3 linked regions of the Tamandua tetradactyla genome follow. The protein of the gene in region 2 purifies or fractionates together with the protein of the main gene of each other region. This does not show direct contact. Links are inferred from orthologs where the notes say so. Each region holds a gene or a part of one and is shown on either strand. Other genes may lie near its edges.

Region 1 (7,964 bases), on a different chromosome or scaffold from region 2:
CATCCTTTAGTGTCAACACCCCTCCTCAACCTGAAAAAGTCAGAACAGGTATTGTTCAAAGATCCCTAAAGATTGGGAGAAGGATTAAAAGGAAAGGAAGAGGTATAACAGAGAAAATAGGATTTAACAAGTGAGTTATGACAGCTGAATCATTCTATTAATATTCCTTCTAGACTCCAGTGTTCTGGAGCAGCTAGAAGGAAAAATCTGAGATGACAGAATGGTAGCTCATGATAAACTCTGGAATCTGTTCATAGCTACTTACTGAAGTGTGCGTTGAAAATGATAGCTTTTTTTCTTTCTTTGCTTTGTACATATATTTTACGACTAAAAATGTTTAAAAAAAATTTAAAAACTAGAAAAAAATCATCTTTGCCATCCTAAGCGAACAATGAGTTGACACTGAGTATACTGACAAAACTGTGTAACTTCCACCACTATCTATTTCCACACTATTTTCATCATCCCAAACCAAACTTCATACCCATTTAGCAGTAACTCCCCATTCCATCCTCTCTCCACTCTAGTAACCATATTCTGCTTTCTGTCTCTATGAATTTGCTTATTCTAAATACTTCATATAAGAGAAATCATCCAGTATCTGTCCCTTTATCTCTGACTTATTCCACTCAACATGAGGTCTTCACGGTTCATCCATGTTGTCATATGTCTCAGAACTTAATTCCTTTTTACAGCTGAATAATATTCCACTAGATGGCTATACCACCTTTTGTTTATCCACTCATCTGTAGATGGACACTAGCTTGTTTACACCTTTTGGCTATAGTGAATAATGAAGAATATTGGTGTACAAATATCTGTTTGAGTCCCTGCTTTCAATTCTTTTGGGTATATACCTAGGAATGGCATTGCCAGGTCATATGGTAATTCTATGTTTAACTCTCTGAAGAAACTCCAAACAGTTTTCCACAGTGGCCATACTATTCTACATTCCTATCATACCATATTTACATTCCAATGTATGAGTGTTCCCACCTCTCATCTCTTTCTAACTTTGACAGCCTCTGCTCCAACTCTCCCACCTAACCCACACCCCATTGGGGGCCTTTCTCCATATATCAGTTTCTGCTTTCTGGGTTTGTGTCTCTCCACCACACCAAATGTTCTCAGCCCTCCAAATGGCCCCTCTCCTCCCTGAGGGGTCAACTGCTGGCCCCCTTTTACCATGCCAACCCCCCTGCATGGCCCCCACCCAAATGACAGCCTCAATAGTATCCCATGCCCATGCGCTCACTCGCCTGCACAGGAGGCACGCCGTTGTTGCTCTGCCGGAACTCACCCTCGTCGCCTGCGCTAATCTCCTCGTAATCGTCCAGCATCCGCACTCGCATCCCCGGCGTCAACGTCTGCTGCACGTACTCACCATAGCCACTGCGGCTTGAGAATTCACAGCGCGGGCGAAAAGCCCGCCCTTGCCTTCCGGGGGTGCTGATGATGGTGGGGAGTAAAAGGCTGGGGCCCGAAACGCAGGGCTGAAAGATGGATCGGGCCGGCCGGGGAGGCGAAGCGCCCTGTTCACTGAAGTTCCGGGCCCAGCCCATGTTCCGCACCAGCTCTGAGATGAGGTTGCCCACAGCCAGACAGAATTCCAGCTTCCGCTGAGCACGGCTTTTCTCCCGGATGAACTCCTCCCTCGCGGGGGAGTGGGAGCCTCCGTCTCCAGCCCCTGGCTCTGGATTATTATTCAGCTGATCCAGGAGGGAAGTGACACACAGGTAGCGCTTCACCAGGGAGAAGAGTAGCTTTCCTGGTATCTGTAGGATATAATCCTTGGCCTAGGTTCATCTCCCAGCTTTAGCTCCTCCCCTTTCCTCTCAATGTCATCCTCTACAGAAAAAAATAAAGGTCTCATCCCTAAGCCTGTAGTTCTCAAACGCTGGTTTGTGTAAGAAACAAAAAGGGAATGTCTTAAAAATACAGATTCCTGAATTTTAATCTCAGAGATCCTAAGAAAATCTGGGGTAGAGAGGGGTACATAAACCTTTACTTTAACAAGCTTCTAAGTAGTTCTGGTGCTGAGGTACAGTCCTGAACCACCTTTCAGATGCCCTAGGCCTTGTACAGAGCTGGGGTACCTGAGGCAGATGAATGCCCTCAAAGGCCATGCAGTGTTCTTCAGACGATGTGGTCTCTGCAAACAGCTCCAGCAAAGTATAGCGGCTGTCAAAATCCATGTGCTGCTCAATGCCATCTTGCTGGCTCAGCGACAGAAGGACATGAGCCCGACTCCCTGTAATCCACACCCAAACCATATCTTCTCTTCAAGCCCCAATACCTCCCCCCCTGCTTTTTCTAGTCTCTACTGCCTACCCTAGAGGGCTTCAAACTTATTTGAGACTGAGAACCACAGTAAGAAGCACATTTCACATTGTAACCCCAGTACAAGCAAGTGTACATACAAATGAAATACACATTTCATGCTACAGAGCTTATCCTTATTAAGTGCTGTTCTCTGATATTTTACGTTTCTTTTAAAATCCACTAAATTGATTTCACAACCAATAAATCTCAACTCACAATTTAAAAAATGCAAATTTACCCCATTCTCTTTTTTGCCATTGCACTGGAAAAGGACAGATAAAACCAGGTGCTATCACTTCATCCTGTTTATATAGTACCTGCAATAGCCTATTAATTTATACTTTTCCTTTGCATTGAATTGATATTCGCCAAATACTAGGTTCTCTTACAGAGTTGGGGAAGCTCTTCTCTTTCTGTTCTTACTCCCTGTAGCCCATTCTCTCCAATGTTCTCCTTCCCCCGGCTGACTCTTACCAGCATCATGGGCTGCCAGAGCCTGCAGCATCTTGCCTGCACTCCGACGGATCTGAGGCTCAGGGTTGCACAACATCTTCATGAGCAGGTCCAGAGCTCCCGTTTCCCTGAAGACCCCAGTGAGGGGCCCAATGCTGGCATAGGCACTGAGCACATGGATGGTGTGGAGCACAGCGGCAGTGAGGCTAGAGGTCCCACCCTCTGCCAGTTGCCTGGCAGCCCTGCATACCAGTGCCCGTACATCAGCCTCCATCTCTCCCACTGCCACTTCATCCAGGCCTCCTGGATCCCTGGGAAAACTTCCTGAAACCCCAGCAGGCTCATGCTGAGGTCCCTTAGATAGCACTCTTTCGCCTAACAGCATGGGGCAGTTGGCGTAGACCTCAGGGGCTGACAACCACATGAAGATGTGCTCTGCCTTGCCTTCGGAGTCCACACCCACTCTGCCAATTTCTTCACACCTCAGGACAGTCCATCGGATGAGGTATTCAGGACACCCATCATGTCCAGGCCGCTGTCGAAGGAGTTCTTCAGGATATGCCTGCAGCTGGGACCCCAAGGGCACCATGATGTCCCCGGCACGCCATGTCCCCACCATCCTGACCTCCTGAGACACATAATGAGAAATATAAAAGCAGTATAGGAAAGGGATAAGAGTACCTGGAGGGGCAAGAGTCTAGAGACATGGAGGGGGGTAATTGGTAGGCTGCAGGTAGAATTCAGAGGCCAAAAAAAAGGGCCAGATATAGGATGGGATAAATAGTTGAACACACTCTGGGACTTAATTATAGGAGAAGGAGAATGGAGTAAGGACAGCAAAAAGGACAGCAAGAGGATATCCTGCATTTCTTAAAGAAACGGAAATTACAAGAGAATAAGAAGAGTAAAAGACAAGGTAACAGAAGAGTGACAGTTAAGCAGGACAGTCTAAGCAGAAGAGCAGGGTGGCTAAGGGATACAGATCAGGACTAAAAGGATGGCATGAGTGAGCAGGAAGGACAGCAGCATGTGAGACAGTGGGGCCAGAACACGTAAGGAAAGTTGATATAGAGGAGGGGCAGGACAAGTAATATAAATGAAGAGGCAAATGTGGAATGTGGAATATAAAGCAGTAGGCCTCGGGAGATTCAGAAAATGGAGATGGAAAGAAGGCTGGGATGTGGGAGCAGATGGCTGGATGGGGAGAGTATATGAGTATTGTGAGGGTGGGGAAAATGGACCTAGGAATCACATAAAAGTATGGGAGAAAAGGACCAGGTCCCAGTTCATACTTACGCTGTATCTAAGTCAAAGGGTGGTAACCATGGGATTGAGACAGTAGGGGATGACTCCAAGAGATGGTGGGGTATTATTACAGATTTCGCTCAGAAGAATGCCCTTTGAACTCTAGCTTTTTTGCTTTCCATCTACAAAGCCTTAGACAAGTTATTTAACCTCTGAGCCTGTTTCCATGTCTGCTAGATGGTGATAATATGTATACCTACCTCTTGAAGTTGACTTAAAGATTTAATAAGATCTCATATGTAAAACACTTAAAACAGTGACCAGCAAGTAGTGAGCACTCAGTAAACAACCTAATATTATTATTGTTAGAGGGGAAGGTAGGGGCAGTCATCAGATAAACTGAGAGAGGTGATAAGCCAGAAGATTCTAGGAGAGTAGGTGATGCTAGTGATAGGGATGAGATATGAGTGAAATGAAGCAGGTGTAGGGGTAACAGAGAATGGTGAGAATGAGAGGGGAAAGTAAACCCAGGCAGAGAAAAGGCAATTTAGGCAGGAGTCATGTGGGAGTATAGAACAGAAGATAAGAGTAGAAGACAGGAGTGAAGGGGAGGGGGAAACAAGGGTGTGGGGCAAGGTTCCAGTTAGCACCGGGAACCAGTTTGAACGGGGAACTCTGATGTGATGGGCTCCTGATTAGAGAAGGTTGGAGAAGTAAAACAATGGGATAGGCCTCAACTGGGACGAAAGGGGGTGGGGAACACACCCGTAGGGTGGGCCTAGAGTAGGACCAACAAATTGATGTGAGCTGCAAGGACGCGGGGATGAAGCCAGCAGGTAGACGCAGGCAACAAGGTCAAGCCCAAGCTTACAGACAGTGGGGGCGGGGAAGAAATGGGCACAGGTTTGGGAACGGGGTGCGGTCCGAGATGGGTGACAGAACCGAGCTAGTCTCAACGAGCAAGACCAGGCTCTCTCCGTCAGCCCCACAGACAGTGGGAAAGGGGCCTCGAAGGGGACTGGGGAGGGATAGGGAATGGGGCCGGGTAGAAGCGGAACTTTCCTCTCACCTCCCACCTCCCGGCTTGGCGCTAGCAGGAACCCAGCGGCCGGTCCCGCAGTCCTGGCCCCGCCTCCCCAGCAGCTCCCTTCCGGGTCACAAAACGTGTGCACGCACGGCCGCGCATCTACGGGTCCCACCGCGGCCCAGAGCCGAAAGCTGCGTTAGAGACTGCGAGTGGAGCATGCGTGGTGGCCGCAGGCGGCTGCACTGGGGCGAGGGAATTAGCGGGGCAAGTGCCGCGTTGCAGGGATAAATGGGGATCTGGGGTCACGTTGCTCCTCCCTCTGCAGAGAAGCAGAGCAGACAGCTCCTTCCATCACAGCAAACGTTAAAATGCCTTTCCCCTTATCTGAGTCTGCCTTCCTCATCCTCCAACACCCATAGTAACATCCGCTTATCTCCCTCAAACCTAGTAACCTAAATCACTGACCCTTACCCACACTCCAACCCTAGGGCTGTCCTTTGAGGTTTTTGTAGGTCACGTGCCCATGTGTTGCCCACCCTCCTCAGTAATACCTTGGGATGGTTGTGTCACTTTTCTTTTTAATTAAAATGTTGGCCTAAGCCCCCAACAAAGCCAAGTACAGGGAGAAAGTCCCTTGCCCCCAAAACTGATCCTTAAATTAACTGGACAGGGTCCCACCCAAACCTACCCCTTAACATTTCAGTTTTCATCAAGCAAAGTTTGCTTCTCAGCGCACAAACTTTTTGGAGTTTGCTTCATGTTCGCACCTCCCTCCCTCCCTATGTGGAAAAACAGAGCCAAAGACCCAACAGTCTGTGCACAAAAATGATACATTTATTGAAAGAGTATTTTTTTTTAATACAAAAGAAAGCTCTGTACATAGGACTGTGATCATGTCCACTATTCCTGGGTCAGCATCCCAGGGGAAGTAGAAACCACTGACATACACACCCACATTCACACATACACACACTCAGGTACACATACACACACAAACATACCCCAGAGCCACCAAGGAAGGGAAACACCAAGGGTCGCTGCACATATAAATGCCACCTCATCCCTGACACACACGTTCTCACAAGGCCACGCTCACACAACACACATTAGAAGCACTTTGCCTGATTCATTCACTGGGTCTGTCTTTTGTGGGAAGGAGAGTAGGAATTCATCAGAGTCTCCTCCCATGGGTGGGGGAGTGGGGAGTGAGTGAGTGGTGGTGGTGGAGTGAAACAAGAGCAGAGAAAGGGGGCTGGGCAGTTACAGACCTGAGACCCAAACTCCCCAATCTCTGGCCCCTGCTTTGCGATGACCCAGGTTGGTAAGCCACCAATAAGCCCCAGCTATCTCCAGGAGAAAGCCCAGAAAGGTGATTTCCATCTTAGCACCCCAAATTAGGGTAAGACAGCAGTGGGGGTTATAGGTTAGGGGGTTCTCAAACATGTTGGCAGATCATCCCCTTGACAACTAGGCTATGCGTAAAATCTTCCCCCACCCCTTCACCTAATCACAGAAGCAGGTTTATTCTTACTGAAGGCAGTTGTAAAGTACTAAGAAAACTCCACTCCAACTGCTGTCATGTTTCTGAAAAAGCTCTGTTTCTGGATATAGGTGGTGAAGGCAGGCTCTGACATAGGGTAAAAGACCCTCCCCCATGCTGGCCCACCCTCAAGGTCTACCCCAAAGAGGGTAGAGATGGGTGGCGCACGGCCCCTGTACAAATTACATAAATACTGAGGTTACACTTAGAAAAATAAAGTCATTTTCTTCAAGGCTTTTGTCTTAATTTAAAAAAGTTACAGTAGCTGCTCACTCCCTGGGAGAGCTGTCCATTTCTGGCTCCCCTATGGCTGCACTCAGCCTAAGAGCTCTCTCACTTCTTCTGACCCCCAATCCTGCCTCTCACCCCCTCCCAGACCCCACCCTGCTCACTGCAACTTGGGCCCCAGGCAGCTGCAGGCCCGGGGAGCACAAGGCTGCAATGCCCATGCATGTGGCACAAATGAAGTCAGTTGCCTAAACCTGACACCCTCCCCCCGACCCCAACATTTGGTCTCCCTCTTCCCCTCCCTAGCAACAGCCCTATAGGGCAAAAAGAGGCCCAGAGCTGTGGGTCACCCTCCCCACCCCATCGGGGCACGGCCTGAGGGCCCCTCCCCCGGCTTTCTCCTGGAAATAACCCAGGACCCGGCCATCCCATCTCCCCTCCCACACTGGTGGGCTCCAAGCTTATGGGGTGGCTCTGTCCCCAGGGGCCCAGTCAGTTCTGGGGAGCCCAAGGGCTCTCCAGGGAAGGGGAGTTTGGGCAGGGAGGGGGACGAGAAAAACGCCATAAAAAAAAGTTAAATATTTTAAAAATATATATTTATAGATTTGTTTTCACTTCGTCTCCTCAAATAAAAAGTTCAGAATCAACTTTAAGTAAAGCAGCTGGGAGGAGGGGGGGGGAAAGACAGGGGTTGGGGGAGAAGGGAACATTGGTGGTTCCCTCCATCCCAGAAGCCCCTGGAGGCCTAAGGGGAATGATGAGGCAGGGCAAATGGCCCCAGGAACCTGCCCAGTGCACAGGCCCAGCTACTCAGGAGCTGAAGGGGCAGAGGGTGGTGGTATGAGGGAAGAAGCCCCCGTCTCCCCAGCTGGCTCCCTGAGGGGCAGTGGCAGGGCTCTTTTAACCCAGCCCGTGGCAGACACAGTGCTAACCTGGGGTCAGCAAGGAGGCTGGGGAGAGGGCCCCAACTGCTTCCTCAGGGGAGGACACAGTGCCTAGTCCCACAGAAGGCCTGTGTGTGGGAAGGTGGGGCACGGTCCCATTGGGTATAGCTAATACTCATGGCAAACATTGAGCCAAGCTGGCGAGGGGAGTCTGAGGAGGGAGGGGAGCCCACCATCAACAGAAATGGGAGGTGGAGCTAGATGG
Region 2 (7,977 bases):
CCTTCTTTTTTACTCTAAATCATCTGTGGAAGAACTACATGATGTTAACTAGAGGCAAAGGAGAGTGTTAAAAAGTTCTCTGGTAGCAGGCTGCACAGGTCTGAATCTTGGATGTGCCATATAAAAGCTGTTACCACTGGGCATGCCATTTAACCTTTGTGATTCTGTATCCTTATCTATAAATTAAATTTAATAGAAGTATCTACCCTACTGGATTCTAGAGAGGCTAAATGAATTAATAGATGTAAAGTGCTTAAATCATCTGGTATATTGAAAATACTCAATAGATATTAGTTGCTATTATGTTTATTATTATTAGCCAACAGCTAGGTGCTCTCAAAGGTTATCCTCTGAGAATACAATTCAGAAAATCAAAAAGGGTTACAAAAAATGAAATTTACTTTATTTTGGGCTACAGAGTTACCATAAACATATATCAAAAACAAATGTATTAAATAAAATGTCTAATTTTTCTAACAACTGACTAAGAGATTCTATAACAACATGTAATTTAGAGTTTTAAGAATCCCCCAAATCCAATCAAGGTGCTCTGGATATAATCACAGGCCAGTATGACTAGATTGTGATATTAACCAAGAAAACTTCTATATAAATACACCCCACTATAAATTAAGAAAGGGTATGTTATTAGAAAGAAGACAGATGTCCTTGTACCCATAAGAAGTGAAGTACAAAGATACAAAGTTTGGCAGTGTGTCTCCAACATGGTCTCCCAAGAAAAAGTTGTCCCTGATCCACAAATAAGATACATTTTCACTGTGGAGAATGATTGCTGGATGATACTCACCAGTGATGTCATTCACTCTCCTCTTGGTCTAATTTTATGAACACAAAATATTGTTTTGCTAATAATTTGGTTTTCCCTACACATCTGTGCAGACTGCCAAAAAAAAAATGAATATGCAGCTGGACTGATATTTATATTTCCCAACGTAAATTAATAATGCAAATGCCCTCTCTGATCTCCTCATCCAGAAGTAATCCCCGCTACTTCCCAAAGCCCTTATCTTTTACTTCTACTGTAGTACTTATTTCTTCTGCCTCCTTATTGTTAGCTGTTTACATGTTTCTCTCTTCCACCAGACTGCAAGCTTCTGAAAATATGACTACATTTTTTGTTTTCCATGGTGTACCGTAACTTTGTTCCTAACTGATACTTAAATGTTTGATGAATAAATGAACAGACAAATAATAGCATCATGTGAATATTCTATTCCCAGTAAAGACTGAGAAGTACATGCAAAGACTGCTCTTACCTTATTCTTTTCATTTTGAATAATTTCTAATAGTTGGTCAGTATGTCCTTCATCTATACACCTTTGGCCTGCTAACTGAAACAGGCTAAAATCTTCTTCTTTAAAATTTTGCTCTTCTAGGATTTGCTGGGCAAAACCAAAACACAAAAAGGACAAACAAAAAATTAAAATTCAATATAATAACCATTTGACTTATTTTTTCTCTCTGAAAAAAAGGAAATCTATTTTAATTCTAGATAAGTTGCACAAAAGTACATATATAAAAAATAGGATCACCATAATAAATACTTCAATGATCTTGAAATCCACCATACCAAAGAAATCTATGAAAAGACCAGTATTAAAATTTATAAAGGTTATTTAGACAAAGATGCCACCAAAATAATCTAATCTGCCCTCCTGTCCTCATGCTATTTATTCACAGGTCAAAAAAAGCAAGGATTAAAGAAGATAAACAAGTTGAGTGACCTCAAATGTAATTACAACTAATCTGTGCCCTTCGTGTAGCTTAAAAAGGTACTTATTTTTACAAAAAGAAATGAAAAAATTACTTACACATCTTTTTATTATGGATTGAAGCTCTTCCACAGCCATTCTTGGTTATTTTTCCTTGTTTTGATGCTGAAATGTACCAATATAAAATACACTAAATTATCACTGATGTTACATTTCAGTACTCATTAACTATGTTTTACTATTCTGAATCGTTTCATTTTAAAATGGAAATTTTAAAAGCTGAAAATGTTATTATTCAAAGTGTGTTAGACTAAGAAAACAAAAATCTATTTATATAAAAAGCTACCTTTAAGTTTCAGTTAGACATTGCTACCTATCATAACTTGCCAAACCCATTCCAGCCAATCATTAAGAACATCTAGGACGATATATAAGATTCTACAAGGGTTCCATGCACTAGTGTAACTTTCCAGAAACCTACAACCTCCAGATGGGTCCCTGGGCCACATAAGACCTGAACCCTAGAGGGCTCAGCCTCTCCAGAGTATCAGCTAGTTCCATCTCCCTACCCCATATTATTGACAGTCCCTTCAAGGTAACATGAAAAAGTTAGAAAGGCCATAGCCCAAATAGGCCTAAAGAGTGGGACAGAAAAATCAGCGATGGTGAAGTCACACAGAGAAGGGAGGATTTAAAAAACTAATATGACTGCTGAATCATTATATCAATACTTCTTTTCATCTCCAGTATCTTAGAGCAGCTAGAAGTAAAAACCTAAAATTGTGGAATTGTAACCCATACCAAATTCTGAAATCTGTTCTACAACTAATTGCTGTGCTGTGCTTTGAAATTTATTGCTTTCTTTGTATAAGTGGTATTTTTCACAAAACAGAATTAAAAAGTCTGTTGTGGTGATAAAAAGCCTCTTATATTCTGGAGCAGCTAGAAGGAAAAATCTGAGAGGATGGTATAGTAGCTAATGACAAACTATGGGATCTGTCCTGTAAACTTGTTGAAGAGTGCTTTGAAAACTATTGCTTTTTTCTTTCTTTGCTTTGTATATACATTATACAATAAAAAAAATTTAAAAAGAAAAACAAAAAAAACCTCCCGTTGCATCTTTTCAGTATTCCAGGACCATCTTAAAGATGAGAAACAAAAACAAAACAACCCTTTAGAGTACTTCCACTGGGCAAGACAAGTAGCAACTATAGCAAGGGTTTTAATAAGACAAATTATTTCTTCACTGAAAATCTTCCAAAAAGTGGAAAACTAACAGTCATTTTTTCCTTTTCTAATGTCCCATTTGTCAAAAATACTGGTGCAACACAACTCACTGAGAAGATTGGAATGCTCCCATCCCAAGTGTGGCTGGGGCATTTCTCTTTAGGACTGCAGTCCCCCAAATTCAGTAATTAAAATCTCTTCATCGCACGGAGACAGAGCAACCGGCGGCCTTCGAGAAAACACTGCTCCGGTCCCGCAGGCCATCTTTTCTCCCGGATGGCAGGCCTGGCCCAAGCCCTGCAATAGGGTGGTCGCCGGGTCCTCACCGTGCCGCGCTCGAGCGCGGATAAAAGCTCAGACTGAGTGCGGAGGCATCCAGGGGAAGCCATTTCTCCCTACCACTATCCGCTGCGGGGTTCGGGCCCCACCGCTTCACGAAGCCTGGCTTGTCCACGGCGCAGGGTCCTGCCTCACAGCCCACCCACTGTCCCCGGCAGCCGGGGACTTCCCGGCGCCTATACTTACCAGTCGGCCCTCTAGCCGTCCGAGCGCCCTCCTTCACCTCCTCCCGCCGCGTAGGCCGCTCGCCGGTCCCGCCCCGGCCGGCTCCGTCTCCCCGCCCCCTCCGGCGCTACGCGAAGGGAGGCGGAGCCTGGCGGAGAGACGCCAGCGCCGGTCTCCGATTTTCAGACGACGTATCCCAATGGCTGACGGGGCCTCGCCGCTACCAGCTGGCCGCAGGGCCCGAGCTTCCGGCACTTCTCGAAAGGCCGCAGGTAAGAACGAAAACCGCTTCCCATGTTTGGACCTTGAGAACAGGGCCCTGACAGTTTCCGACCGACGCGCACGGGGCTTCCCGAACCCAGGGGAGAGGGTCTGCGGGACCGAGAGACGGACAGCTTCCCTTGTTCCTGAGTGTTCCAAGATTTTTCCTACAGGCACACACCAGTGTTCCGGGATTTTTTCCCCTCGTGGGCTTTGGCCCCAGCTGTAGAGGTGCTGGGAGCCTAGCGCTGGCGCTCGCCGGGCTGTGTGCAGCTGGCTTCGGCCCCCAGACCTATCTTCCTGGCAGACGTGCTGCAACTTTCCTACTCGGGTTCCCTGAATTGTGGGAACGTCCCCTCTTCCCCCAGGGAGCGAGCATTTAGAGGATGGAGAGAGAGTTCTCCAGAACTCAGATTTTCAAGAGTGCTTAACTAAGCAACTCTGATACAGTGAAAATTCAATCCCTAAAAAGATAGTTTTAACTAAGAAAAATTAGGGAATAAATTAAGTTTAAAAAAGAACAAAAAAAATTTGGACTACATTCCCATATCTTACAAACAAGATTGGAAATGAAATGTGTAGAAAAATAGGAAAGATAGTCTGGTGTGTTTGAGTTCTGTAAGTACGAGTCTGACCTGTACTTAGTGTGTTTGTGCATACTTGGCCCACTATGTTTGTTTTTTTTTTTTTTTTTTAAATACAGGATCTAAACTGACAAGTGCTTTGAAACAAGAAGATGCTTCTAAAAGGTATGAGAACTACTTGGGCAACTACATTCACTTATCTATATATCTCATATTAATTGACATTTTTTAAAACAGTGAGTGCTCCCATAGAGAAAATTGTTATGAGGAAAGATGCCAGCCTGGGAAACACTGTAAATTCCCACATTCATTATTATATCCCTCTACTCCAGGCTTCAAGAAAACCAAATCTGAAACTTTTACGTTGATGACTGAGATATCAGTGTATGTAGAAAGATGTCTATGAAACATCTTAACCAGGTACTCCTTTTATTGGTACACCAGGGAGTCACTGTCCAAATTTCTCTCCTTATTATTCCAAGAAGCCTTTTCTGTTCTTTTTTTACATCAAGTCTGGATTTTTGTAACAAAGTTGTCATGTACTGTGTCTTGGCTTCTCCTCAAAAACACAAGGGATTATCACCTGTAATAAAAGGTTTCTAGAATAGTAGTAGTCTATGATGATGATGATAAAAATATATATCTATCATTTCTTTCTTTGAGAAGACTCACTAAGTTGTATTGTCTTTTAGGCTTCATTTATTCATTTATTTAAGCATTCATTCATGTTAGGCGCTGCTGTTATGATGTTGAATAAACAGTTCCTAGCTAGTGGAAGAGAGTGATACCAATTAAATGATCACAGATAAATAGATAATTACAAATTGTGTTAAGTGCTATCAAAAGAAAAGACTATGATGTTAGAATGAATGAAGAATGAAAGTCCATTTTAGCCAAAGGTTGGTGGGGAGAGTGGCTGTAGGTTTTTTGAGAAAAAGTTTCTCTGAGGGCGTGATAAGCTGAGATAAAGTTAAACAAAGAAAACACAAGTGAGGAGAGACTTCTAGGCTGAGGTGACAGTATTTCTGAAACCCTGAGATGAGAAAGTGCTTGACCAGTTAAAAAAAAGAGGCAAGATAGCTGGGGTAGTCTGAGCAGAGAAGGAAAGGGGCTAGGAAAAGGGGAGAGAGGCAGGATCCTGTTCATATAGTATCTGGAAGCCATGGTAAGAAATTATATTATTGTTCTAAATGCAAATGAGAAAACTGTGTAACAGAGTGATGTGATTCAAGTTTTTGTGTTTAAAATTTTATTGTGGTAGCATAAATTTTATCTTTAAGAAATGTAAGATTTGCAATTTTAGCTACTTTAAGTGTTCAATTCAATGACATTAATTACATTTTCCAGATTATGCTACAGCACCACTATCTTTTACCAGAATTTTTCATCACCCAAAACAAGAAGGTCTGTACCCATTAAGCAATAATTTCCCCATTCTTACTTGGTGCTCTAGTTTGCTAGCTGCTAGAATGCAACACACCAGAGATGGATTGGCTTTTAATAAAAGGGGATTTATTTCGTTAGTTCTTCAGAGGAAAGGCAGCTAACTTTCATTTGAGGTTCTTTCTTACATGGGACGGCTCAGAATGATCTCTGCTGGCCTTCTCTCCAGGCCTCTGGGTACCAACAACTTTCCCCGGGGTGATTCCTTTCTGCATCTCCAAAGGCCTGGACTGAGCCGCAGTTGCTGAGATGAGGTGTGCTGAGCTGCTTGGGCTGTGCTACGTTGAGCTTTCTCATTTAAGCACCAACCAATTAAGTCAAACATCATTCATTGCAGCAGGCATGCCTAGCCGACTGCAGATGTAATCAGCAACACGTACCATTGGCTCATGGTCACAGCAACAGAGCTAGGTGCCTTCACCTGGCCAAGTTGACAACTGAATCTAACTACCACACTTGGTAAACCACTATTCTGCTTTCTGTCTCTGAAATCATACAATAATTGTCCTTTTGTTTCTGGCTTATTTCACTTGGTATAATATTTTCAAGGTTTGTCCATGTGGTAGCATACATTAGAACTTCATTCTTTTTTATGACTATAATATTTCATTGTATGTATATACCACATTTGGTTTATCCCTTCAGCTGTTGGTGTAAACTTTGGTTGCCTTCATCTTTGGTGGTTGTGAAAAATGGTGTAATAAACATTGGTATACTGATATCTGTTTGAGTTCTTGCCTTCAGTTATTTGGGTATACACTATACCTAGAAGTGAAATTGTGGGACATATGATAATATATTTTCTGAGAAACTGGCAAACTGTTTTCCACAATAACTGCACCATTTTACAATCCCATTAACAGTGAAAGAGTGTTTCTGTTTCTCCTTGTCCTCTCAAATGCTTATTTTTGTTTTTGTTTTTTGACACTGGCTATTCTAGTGAGTATGAAATGGTATAGCATTGTGGTTCTGGTTTGCATTTACCTAGTGGCTAATGATACTGAGCATCTTTTTGTATGCTTATGGCCATTTATTTATTTTCTCTGAAAAAGTGTCTATTCAGGTTCTTTGCCCACTTTTTGAGTTGCTTATCTTTTTTGTTGTCGAGTTGTAAGAATTCTTTCTATTCTGAAAATTGAACAGATATGTGGTTTCCAATATTTTCTCCCATTCTGTAAATATTCTTTTTTATCCTCACAATAAAGTACTTTGATAAGCAAAAGTTTCTAATTTTGATGAGGCCCCATTTATCTATTTTTTTTTTCCTTTTGTTGCTTATGCTTTTAGTGTAAACTCTAAGAAACCGTTTCTTAATACAAAGTCCTGAAACTGTTTTCCTCTAGGAATTTTATAGGTTTGGTTTTTATATTTAAGTTCTTGATGCATTTTGAGTTCATTTTGTATATGGTGTGAGGTAGGGTATGAGTAGGGTGCTTTTCTCAGCACCATTTGTTGAAGAATTTGTCATTGAAAGAACTTGCTACCCTTGTCATAAATCATTTGGCCATAAATATGAGGGTTGATTTCTGAACTCTGTTTGATTCCAGTGGTTTATATTGTCTGTCCTTGTGCCAGCACCATACTGCTGTGATTGCTGTGGTTTTGTAATAAGATTGAAGATCAGGAAATATGAGTTCTCCAACTTCATTCTTCTTGTTCAGCATGATTTTGGTTATTTGGGGCCCCTTACTCTTCCATATAAATTTGATAATCGGCTTTTCCATTTCTACAAAAAAGATTACTGGGATTGTGTTTGAATCTGTAAATTGGTTTAGGTAGTGTTGACATCTTAACAATTTGTAGTTTTCCCATCCATGAACACTAATATCCTTCTATTTATTTAGGTCTTCATTGATTTATTTTGACAATGTCTTATAGTTTCTGAGCCTAAGTTCTTGGTAAGATTTTTTTTCCTATTTGATACATTTTTTTAAACTTTTTTTATTGTATAGTATAACATTTATACAAAGCAAAGAAATAAAAAGCAATAGTTTTCAAAGCACTCTTCAAAAACTGGTTACAGAATAGATCCCAGAGTTTGCATTGGCCTACCATATGATCCTCTCATATTTTTCCTTCTAGCTGCTCCAGAATATGAGGCTAGAATGCTTAAATACTTTTTTATCATCACAACCGACTTTTTTATTCTTCTTTATTTTGTGAACAATAACATATATACAGAAAAGCTGTAGATTTCAAAGCACAGCATCACAATTAGTTGTAGA
Region 3 (7,328 bases), on a different chromosome or scaffold from region 2:
ACTACCCAGGCTGATGGTAGAAAATGAGAATATAACCTTGCTGCTCTTCTTAATCCCTGATATCCCATTTTAAAAATTACTACAATCTCATGTGGGAGACCCAGGTTTTATTTCCAGCCCATGCACTTTCTGCTCCACCCCCCACCCTATCCCTCTCCCCACATTCAACAAGTGGTGCTGCAATAACAGGATAGTCACATGGAAAAAGAGTGAAATGCTACCCCCACCATACAGCATGCAAAAAAAAATTACTATAATCTTTACTTAGGCATAGATATGGGAAAGTGAAACATCAGTTATTAAAATTTCTTATCAAATGGTTGAATGCTTTGGAAGAGATGATACTGAGAGGTGGGTAGTTTATCTTCAGGAACTTAAGCTTCTTTTGGAATCCTTTCCTGCAGGTAGGCAGAGAAATGGTCCCCCAAAATGTTCACATTCTAATCTCTATAACCTGTGACTATAACAGTTATGTAGTGTTAAGGATTGAACTGTGTCCCCTAAAAAGACGTTTAAATTTTAATCACTGGTCCTGTAACTATGACTTTATTTGGAAATAGGATGGTGTGATTAGTAAAGATGAGGCCAAACTGGAGTAGGGTGGTTCCTAATCTGATCAGACTGGTATTCTAACAAGCAAGGAAACTCTGACACAGAGAAAGAGACAGGGAGAGGAATGACCATGTGACTGAGCCAGAGACTGAGCTATTCTGTAACAAACTAGTAGCCAGGGGAGATATGGAGGATATTCTTCCCTTTAAGAGAAGCATGGCCCTGATGACACCTTGATTTCAGAGTTCTAGCCTTCAGAACCATGAGACAATAGACTTCTGTTGTTCAAGCCAATTAGTCTATGGTACTTGTTACAGCAGCCCTGGCAAACAAAGACAGGTGGCAAAGGGAAATTAAGGTTATAGATGGAATTAATATTGTTAATAAAATGACATTGAGATTGGGGAAATTACTCCAGATTATCAAGGTGGGGCAACATAATCTTAAAGGTCTTTATAAGTGGAAGAAGGAGAGAGAGGAGAGAATCAAATAGATGGTAACATGAACCAAACTCCTACCAACTGTTGCTGGCTTTGAAGACTGAGGAAGAAAGAAACCCATTAGCCAAGGAATCCCGGCCGCCTCTAGAAGCTGAAAAGGCAAGGCCACAGATTCTTTCCTACGAGCCTCCAGTTCTGCCAACCCTTGATTTTAGCCCAGTGAGAACTGTGTCAGACATTTGACTTACAAAATAGTAAGATAATAACTTGGGTTGTTTTAAGACGCCAAGTTTGTGGTAATTTGTTATAGCAGCAATAGGAAACTGCATTTACCTTTCCTGATAACTTCTGTCCTCTCCCTGGAGATTCTAGGCACTGTCTTCCGGACTTTTCTTCCTTTGCCCTTGAGGATTCGATATGACATTAACATCTTAGTATATGTCACTTACCACTCCATACTTCCATTTTACGCACTTTCTCTAACAAAATCTAACTATATAATTTATCCTTCATTAAGGAAATTTAGGAATAATCAAGTAGGTGGAGAACAGTCTTTCGGAAACAGAAATTATCACAATTTCTCCTAAATCATTTTAACTAGACTTCTATCACCTGATCAACCTTCATAACAATGAATAGTATAATTTTTCAGGATTTAGTAGTCCAGCCCTTTTTAGTTTTCTTTCCTCCTAATGACCCATTTTTTTTCTGGGCTAAAATGAGCTGCACTGATTACTTATGGATACATTTTCTGTGTCAGCCTCGTCTAACTACACACTCAAACAGGATGTGGTTAACTTTGTATTTATTTTGACTTTCTATTAATTTGCTAATGTTCCTCAATAAGAAATTAATATTTAAAAGGTGGGGACAAGCATTGTTGCTACACAATTCTGCCTGTGCCAAAAGGGAAATGAACTTGCCGGGTACTTATTCTCTTACCTCTGCTTAGTTTACTGGCCCAGATTGGTCAAAACCTACCGCTCAAGAGTTCAGCATTTTTCCGAACCTGCACGGACTTTCCCCAATATCTCACAAAGCTTCCCTTCTCTGCCTGCACTACACTGATAAATGCTTTTATTTTCACAGCAACTCTTCAAGGAGTGTACCGAAGGGGTTGACCTTGACAGAGGTTTCCAGCGTGAATTCCTGACTATCACAGAGTTGGGTTTTCAATCATTGTTAGGAATTTACTTTTTCCTAAGTGTAAACGGTTTATTTTTAGGCTCAATATTCTAAATTTTGGACAGCCTACTACACCAGTGTTAAAGACGACGTAGTATCCTATTAAGTATATACAAATAGGTGTATAGTTTACAACAGGTCTAGAAACGTTCCTCTCACAAACCTTAACTTGAAAGCCCAAGATTTCCACTTGGCTGAAAACTCAGCTCTCCTCCTTTATAGGCAGGGGTTTTGCTTATTAAGAGAAAACCTTACTCTCCTCCGTCACATCTTTTAGTGCGGACTATCGTTTCTCTGCGACAGTGAAACACTGGGAAGAGCAACTTGTGCCAAGGTCACCGGGGAAGCGGCAGAAAGCTAGGACAAGGCGGGCAGCCGGACTTCCGGGAGGGGTCCGCGTCCAGCAGGGGTCCCGCAGGCCCCAGACGTTCCTCAGGACGGTGGACCAGTCACCGGTCGCGGGAGACGCGGCGCTCTCCCGAAGCCCGCTCCTGTCACAACGTGTTGCTGACCCGGGACCGAGCCGCCATGGCCACAGACCTTGACCGGGGCTGCAGCGACTGCCAGCCGGGAAAAAAGATGACTTCTCGACACAAATGTAGGCCGCTAGCGGGTGTGCAACAAGTCACTTTTCCAGCATCGCTCGGGGTGCTTCCGGTTCCCAGCGCCGCCCCTCGGCTCCACCCCCGCCCGGGCTTCCTCCCCACCCCCAGGTCAGTTTCCTCCTCCCAGCCGCGGCGTAGGGCCCCCCCCCTTCCGTTCCATTTAATTGTTGGATTGTTAGCGCCGCACTCCCGCTGGCGGCCGGCAGGGGGCGGAGTTCAGGCCTGGACTTCCCCTCCGGGCGTTCCCGGGGAGAGCGGTCGCCGAGTGGGGGAGGGGAGGACAGGGCGCGGGGACGCGGTTCCGTCGGCGTCGGCGCTACATTTGGGGACGACTAGGCGAAGAGGCTGCGGCTGCCGCATCAGAGCTGACGTGGGGGCTACGTGGGTCCGCCGCCGGCGCCAGCGCGGGGTTGCTGGGTGGCAGCGCTGCTCCTGAGCGGCGGGCCCGGCTCGGCGTCCCCACCTCCTCCCGTCCGTAATCAGTGACGAGGTCCGCTACGTAAACTCATCGCGGCGGGTAAGTTGCGCGTCTGCCCCGGACCTAGAGACCTAGGAGTCGGCGACGCGGGAGCAGGAGGCGGAGGAAGGAGGCGGAGCGGAGCCCGGGTCCGCGGCCCGGAGGGCTGGGGTTGCGGCGGGTTGGCTGGCGGGCACCCGGGCTCCGGGCTCCGCCGAGGAAGCGGCGGCGGCGGCGGCGGCCGGTGTCCAACCCGGTCGCCAGCGGGAGCGGCCTCCGGGACCGAGGTGGGCCGTGCTCCGGGCCCGCCAGCAAGACCAGCCCCGACGAGAGCACCGCGGCCCCAGACGTGGCTCGTCCCCAGCTCGGCGGCCGGGCGGCCCCGGGGGCTTCCCGCTCCGAGTCCGGCGCCTCCTGCCAGACGCCACCAGCCGCCCGGCCCAGGACTGGAGCCCGCAGCCTCCGCAGGCCGACCTCGCCCGGCCCCCTGGCCCTTGTGGAGATGCGCAGCGCGTCCGCTTTAGCGCCCTCGTCCACCTCGTTCCTCCAGTTGGCTCGCTCGTTGCTTTAATTTTAATCAGATAACTCTCCTAGGCCTGAAACGGGCTCGGCAGATTTCTAAGTCCTCCTCGACTTCTTCTGAACTTGGGAGAAGTCGGAAAAGCCTTATTGCTCTCATGAATGCGGTTCTCACTCTTTGGAAAGGGGGAGAAAAGAAAAAAAAAAAGAAACGAGAATTGCGAATGTTGGTTTTGTTTACCGCAGCCGACGATTAATAACATCTTCGTCTCAGTTTTATGTACTCGGTCTAGAAATGAATTGACGTGACCCATTTCTTCTGAAATATGAGTAAGAGGGGCATCGCGATTGAATCTCTTGAGTCCGGACACGATAGGTCTGATGAGATACTGCTTGTGAAGGAGGAACAAATCCGTTCCAGCTGGTAGAAAGCGCAGTTTCTCTTGTTCTGATGTTTGCCCTTTTAGGGTCACCTAGCAAGGTTCCTAGAACCTGTCGAGTAGGGAATAAGTGCATTATTCAGCATAGTTCTTCATCCTGCTATCCATTACGTGTATACCAGAGCTCTAAATTGGCAACCACTTAGACGTTTTCTGCGTTGTGTTAAATAATGCAGTCAAATTTTCAGAAATTTTGACTTACATGGTCAGCCCGGAAGTCTGAGTAAAAATTTAAGAGCCTTTCTTACAGTGTGGCTTACCTACGTGATTTGTATCAAGTTTCTGCTTATTTGCTAAACTGATGGAGTGCAACCACCTTCCCTTGAATATAATCCTAGAGGCGCAGATCAGGTATGAAAATTGTATTAGGTTACATTAATTATTCGTGTTCTCTGTCTTGTAGTTATTAAAAACTAACACCAAGAAAACCTGAAAATATGTAGTTTAAAACTCAAATTCAAATGCCTATGATTAATGTCATGATTTTTGAAATACGATTTTAGATCATGATCTCAGTATATTTGCAGCTGTTTTGTATTGTTAAAAACAAAGGTGTACACAATATCTCCAAGACTGATCAATAACTTTTTATTTCAAACAGTTACAATTTTTTTCCTTGTGGATGCTACATTTTTTTACTACTGTTGATCCTCTTTCGTGGGTTACAAGTTTCTTTCCACATAATAAAATAATAGCAGCCTTTAAATCTTTGAATTTAAAAGTAACTTAAAAAAAAATTCCCCCTTCCCAGAGGTAGGTAAATTTCAAACAATGTTTTGACCAATAAATGCTAATTAAGTATTAATAAAAATGATTTTTAAAGAATTACTTATTGATCCAAATACAATTAAAAAGACATATTTAAATGGTTTTGATATGAATGAGTAAAACAAAGTATTTTCATGTTAAGTGTTGATAATCACAGACATTTTTGGTGACTCTGAAGGGATCAGTGTAAGCATATGCTTTCCTAGTGAGTTAATGGTCAGCGTGGAATCATTTGGTTGAGTGTTCACATGTATTTACACTGGTATTTTGTATCCCTATTTTTGTAAGACAATGTGAATAAATTTTTATTAAATGTATAAATACAGGAGCTTTTTTAGTCTTTGTTTTTGCATTGTTACTGAAATTTGCTTCTACTGATGAATTTAGCAAGAAACAGGTCCCGTAGGTCTTCTGGTTTTCTACTGTATTCTATTTTCCTATTGAGGGGAGTCATTGCATCATTGACATATGAAGTCGTCTTTAGAATTATGGCCATTTCATGAAAATTAAGGAAGGGTTTCAAATTATTAATAGACATAAGGAATCCTGGACACATCTTTACCGGTACAGCTAACCATTTCTGAGTCTGTCCAAATTTATATTTTCTCCAAGTAAACATTGGGCCAGAAAATTGAGCCAGCTTTATTGTTGGAATAATGTATTGGAAAGCTCTCACATGTCTTGTACCTTCTATATAGATTTCTCAAACTAAAACTGAACAATGCAAACACTTAGCTAAGCCATTGATATTTTGATGTACTGTCAGCATTGATTGCTAAGGAAATAAGCCTGAAATGTCTGAATTTTGTTAAGGGTTTATACGTTATGAAACAGCTAGATTCCATGTAGAGAAACCTACTTTGAGAAGAGTTATCATGTATCAAATACAGTTTCGATATCAATATTATCAGTAGGGAAACTTAAAAATACAGATTCCAGGGAAAATGTATCTCATCTGTTACACATAGGAAGAAATAAACGTTTTTAATTGCTAGGTTAATTTTTTATTTTTCAATTTTTAGTTTTAATTTTGCTATAATTTTCAAATATTTTTATTGAGAAATCTTCACACACATACATTCCACTTATGGTGCAGAATCAGTGGCTCACAGTATCATCACATAGTTGTGTATTCGTATCATGATCATCCCCTAGAACGTTTGCATCACTCCAGAAGAAAATAAAAAGAAAAAAGAAACTCATACATGCCATACACTTCACCCCTCTCATTGATCACTAGTATTTCCATATACTCAATTCATTCTAACCTTTGTCTCCCCTATTTTTTTTAAATCCATTTTGTTTTACACATCTGTCCATACCCTGGATAAAAGGAGCATCAAATACAAGGTTCTCACAGTCACACAGTCACTTTGTAAACATTATATCTATACAGTCATCTTCAAGAATCAAGGTTACTGGAACACAGCTTAATGGTTTCAGGTACTTCCCTCCACCACTCCAATACACCATAAACTGAAGAATACCTATATAATGCATAAAAATAACCTCCAGGATAACCTCTGGACTGTTTGAAATCTCTCAGCTACTGAATATCTTATCTTGTCTCATTTCTCTCTTCCCCTTTTTGGGCAAGAAGGCTTTCTCAATCCCTTGATGCCAGGTGTCAGCACATCCCAGGATTTCTGTCCCACGTTGCCAGGGAGATTTACACCGTCCTGGAGTCATGTCCCACGTAGGAGGGAGGTCAGTGAATTCACTTGCAGAGTTGGCTCAGAGAGGCCACATCTGAGCAACAAAAGAGTTTCTCTGGGGATGACTCTTAGGTATAATTTTAAGTAGGCTTAGCCTATCCCTTGCAAGAATAAGTTCCATAGGAACAAACCCCAAGACTGAGGGCTTGGCCTATTGATTTGGTTGTCTCCACTGCTTGCAAGAGTATCAGAAATTCTCCAAATGAGGAAGTTGAATATTTCCTCCTTTCTCCCCAGTCTGCCAAGCGGACTTTGCGAATATTTCTTTATTCATTGCCCACAGTACTCTGGGATTTATTGAGAAATCCACTTACCTGAGCAGACCAACCAAATCTCAGGCCCTATTCAAGATTCCATAATAATTTACTTTTAAAGAATAGAAGGGCATTTAAAATATGTTTTACCATGGAAACTGCACAATAAAATATCCACAGAGTATGCTGTTATTAAAAGTAAATGTTTCCACTCCCAGGTTTCCTTTTTTTGTGTCTCTAGGATATCCAGTATAGAATAAGAGAATGAAGACAAAAACTTAAAAATGACATCAATGGAAATTTATCTTGATAGTACCCTTTTTATTTGTTGATGCATGAGTCGGTAATTGATATTACTGTCTTGAAAACATCTCAAGTCCTATTTGTATAAAT

What was found.
Region 1: the proteins of GLMN (region 2) and CUL9 purify together in Homo sapiens (affinity purification with mass spectrometry; 3 studies listed by BioGRID and IntAct, counting the BioPlex papers as one, with this or other methods). This does not show direct contact. The link is inferred for Tamandua tetradactyla from reciprocal best matches to the Homo sapiens genes GLMN and CUL9.
Region 3: the proteins of GLMN (region 2) and CUL2 purify together in Homo sapiens (co-immunoprecipitation; 4 studies listed by BioGRID and IntAct, counting the BioPlex papers as one, with this or other methods). This does not show direct contact. The link is inferred for Tamandua tetradactyla from reciprocal best matches to the Homo sapiens genes GLMN and CUL2.

The regions. Positions count from the first base shown.
Region 1 is NC_135331.1:100,755,434-100,763,397, reverse strand, and holds the start of CUL9 (cullin-9), read right to left. Parts: upstream 3,424-7,964; 5' UTR 3,395-3,423; coding exon 2,797-3,394; intron 2,252-2,796; coding exon 2,097-2,251; intron 1,776-2,096; coding exon 1,260-1,775; intron 1-1,259. UniProt on the Homo sapiens protein: Core component of a Cul9-RING ubiquitin-protein ligase complex composed of CUL9 and RBX1. The CUL9-RBX1 complex mediates ubiquitination and subsequent degradation of BIRC5 and is required to maintain microtubule dynamics and genome integrity.
Region 2 is NC_135337.1:32,017,011-32,024,987, reverse strand, and holds the start of GLMN (glomulin), read right to left. Parts: upstream 3,276-7,977; 5' UTR 3,071-3,275; intron 1,899-3,070; 5' UTR 1,872-1,898; coding exon 1,833-1,871; intron 1,404-1,832; coding exon 1,278-1,403; intron 1-1,277. Other genes in the region: putative RNA polymerase II subunit B1 CTD phosphatase RPAP2, read left to right, coding at 3,664-3,736, 4,429-4,474, 5,657-5,713.
Region 3 is NC_135327.1:216,104,847-216,112,174, reverse strand, and holds the start of CUL2 (cullin-2), read right to left. Parts: upstream 3,046-7,328; 5' UTR 2,718-3,045; exon of another isoform or gene 2,341-2,717; intron 1,396-2,340; 5' UTR 1,326-1,395; intron 1-1,325.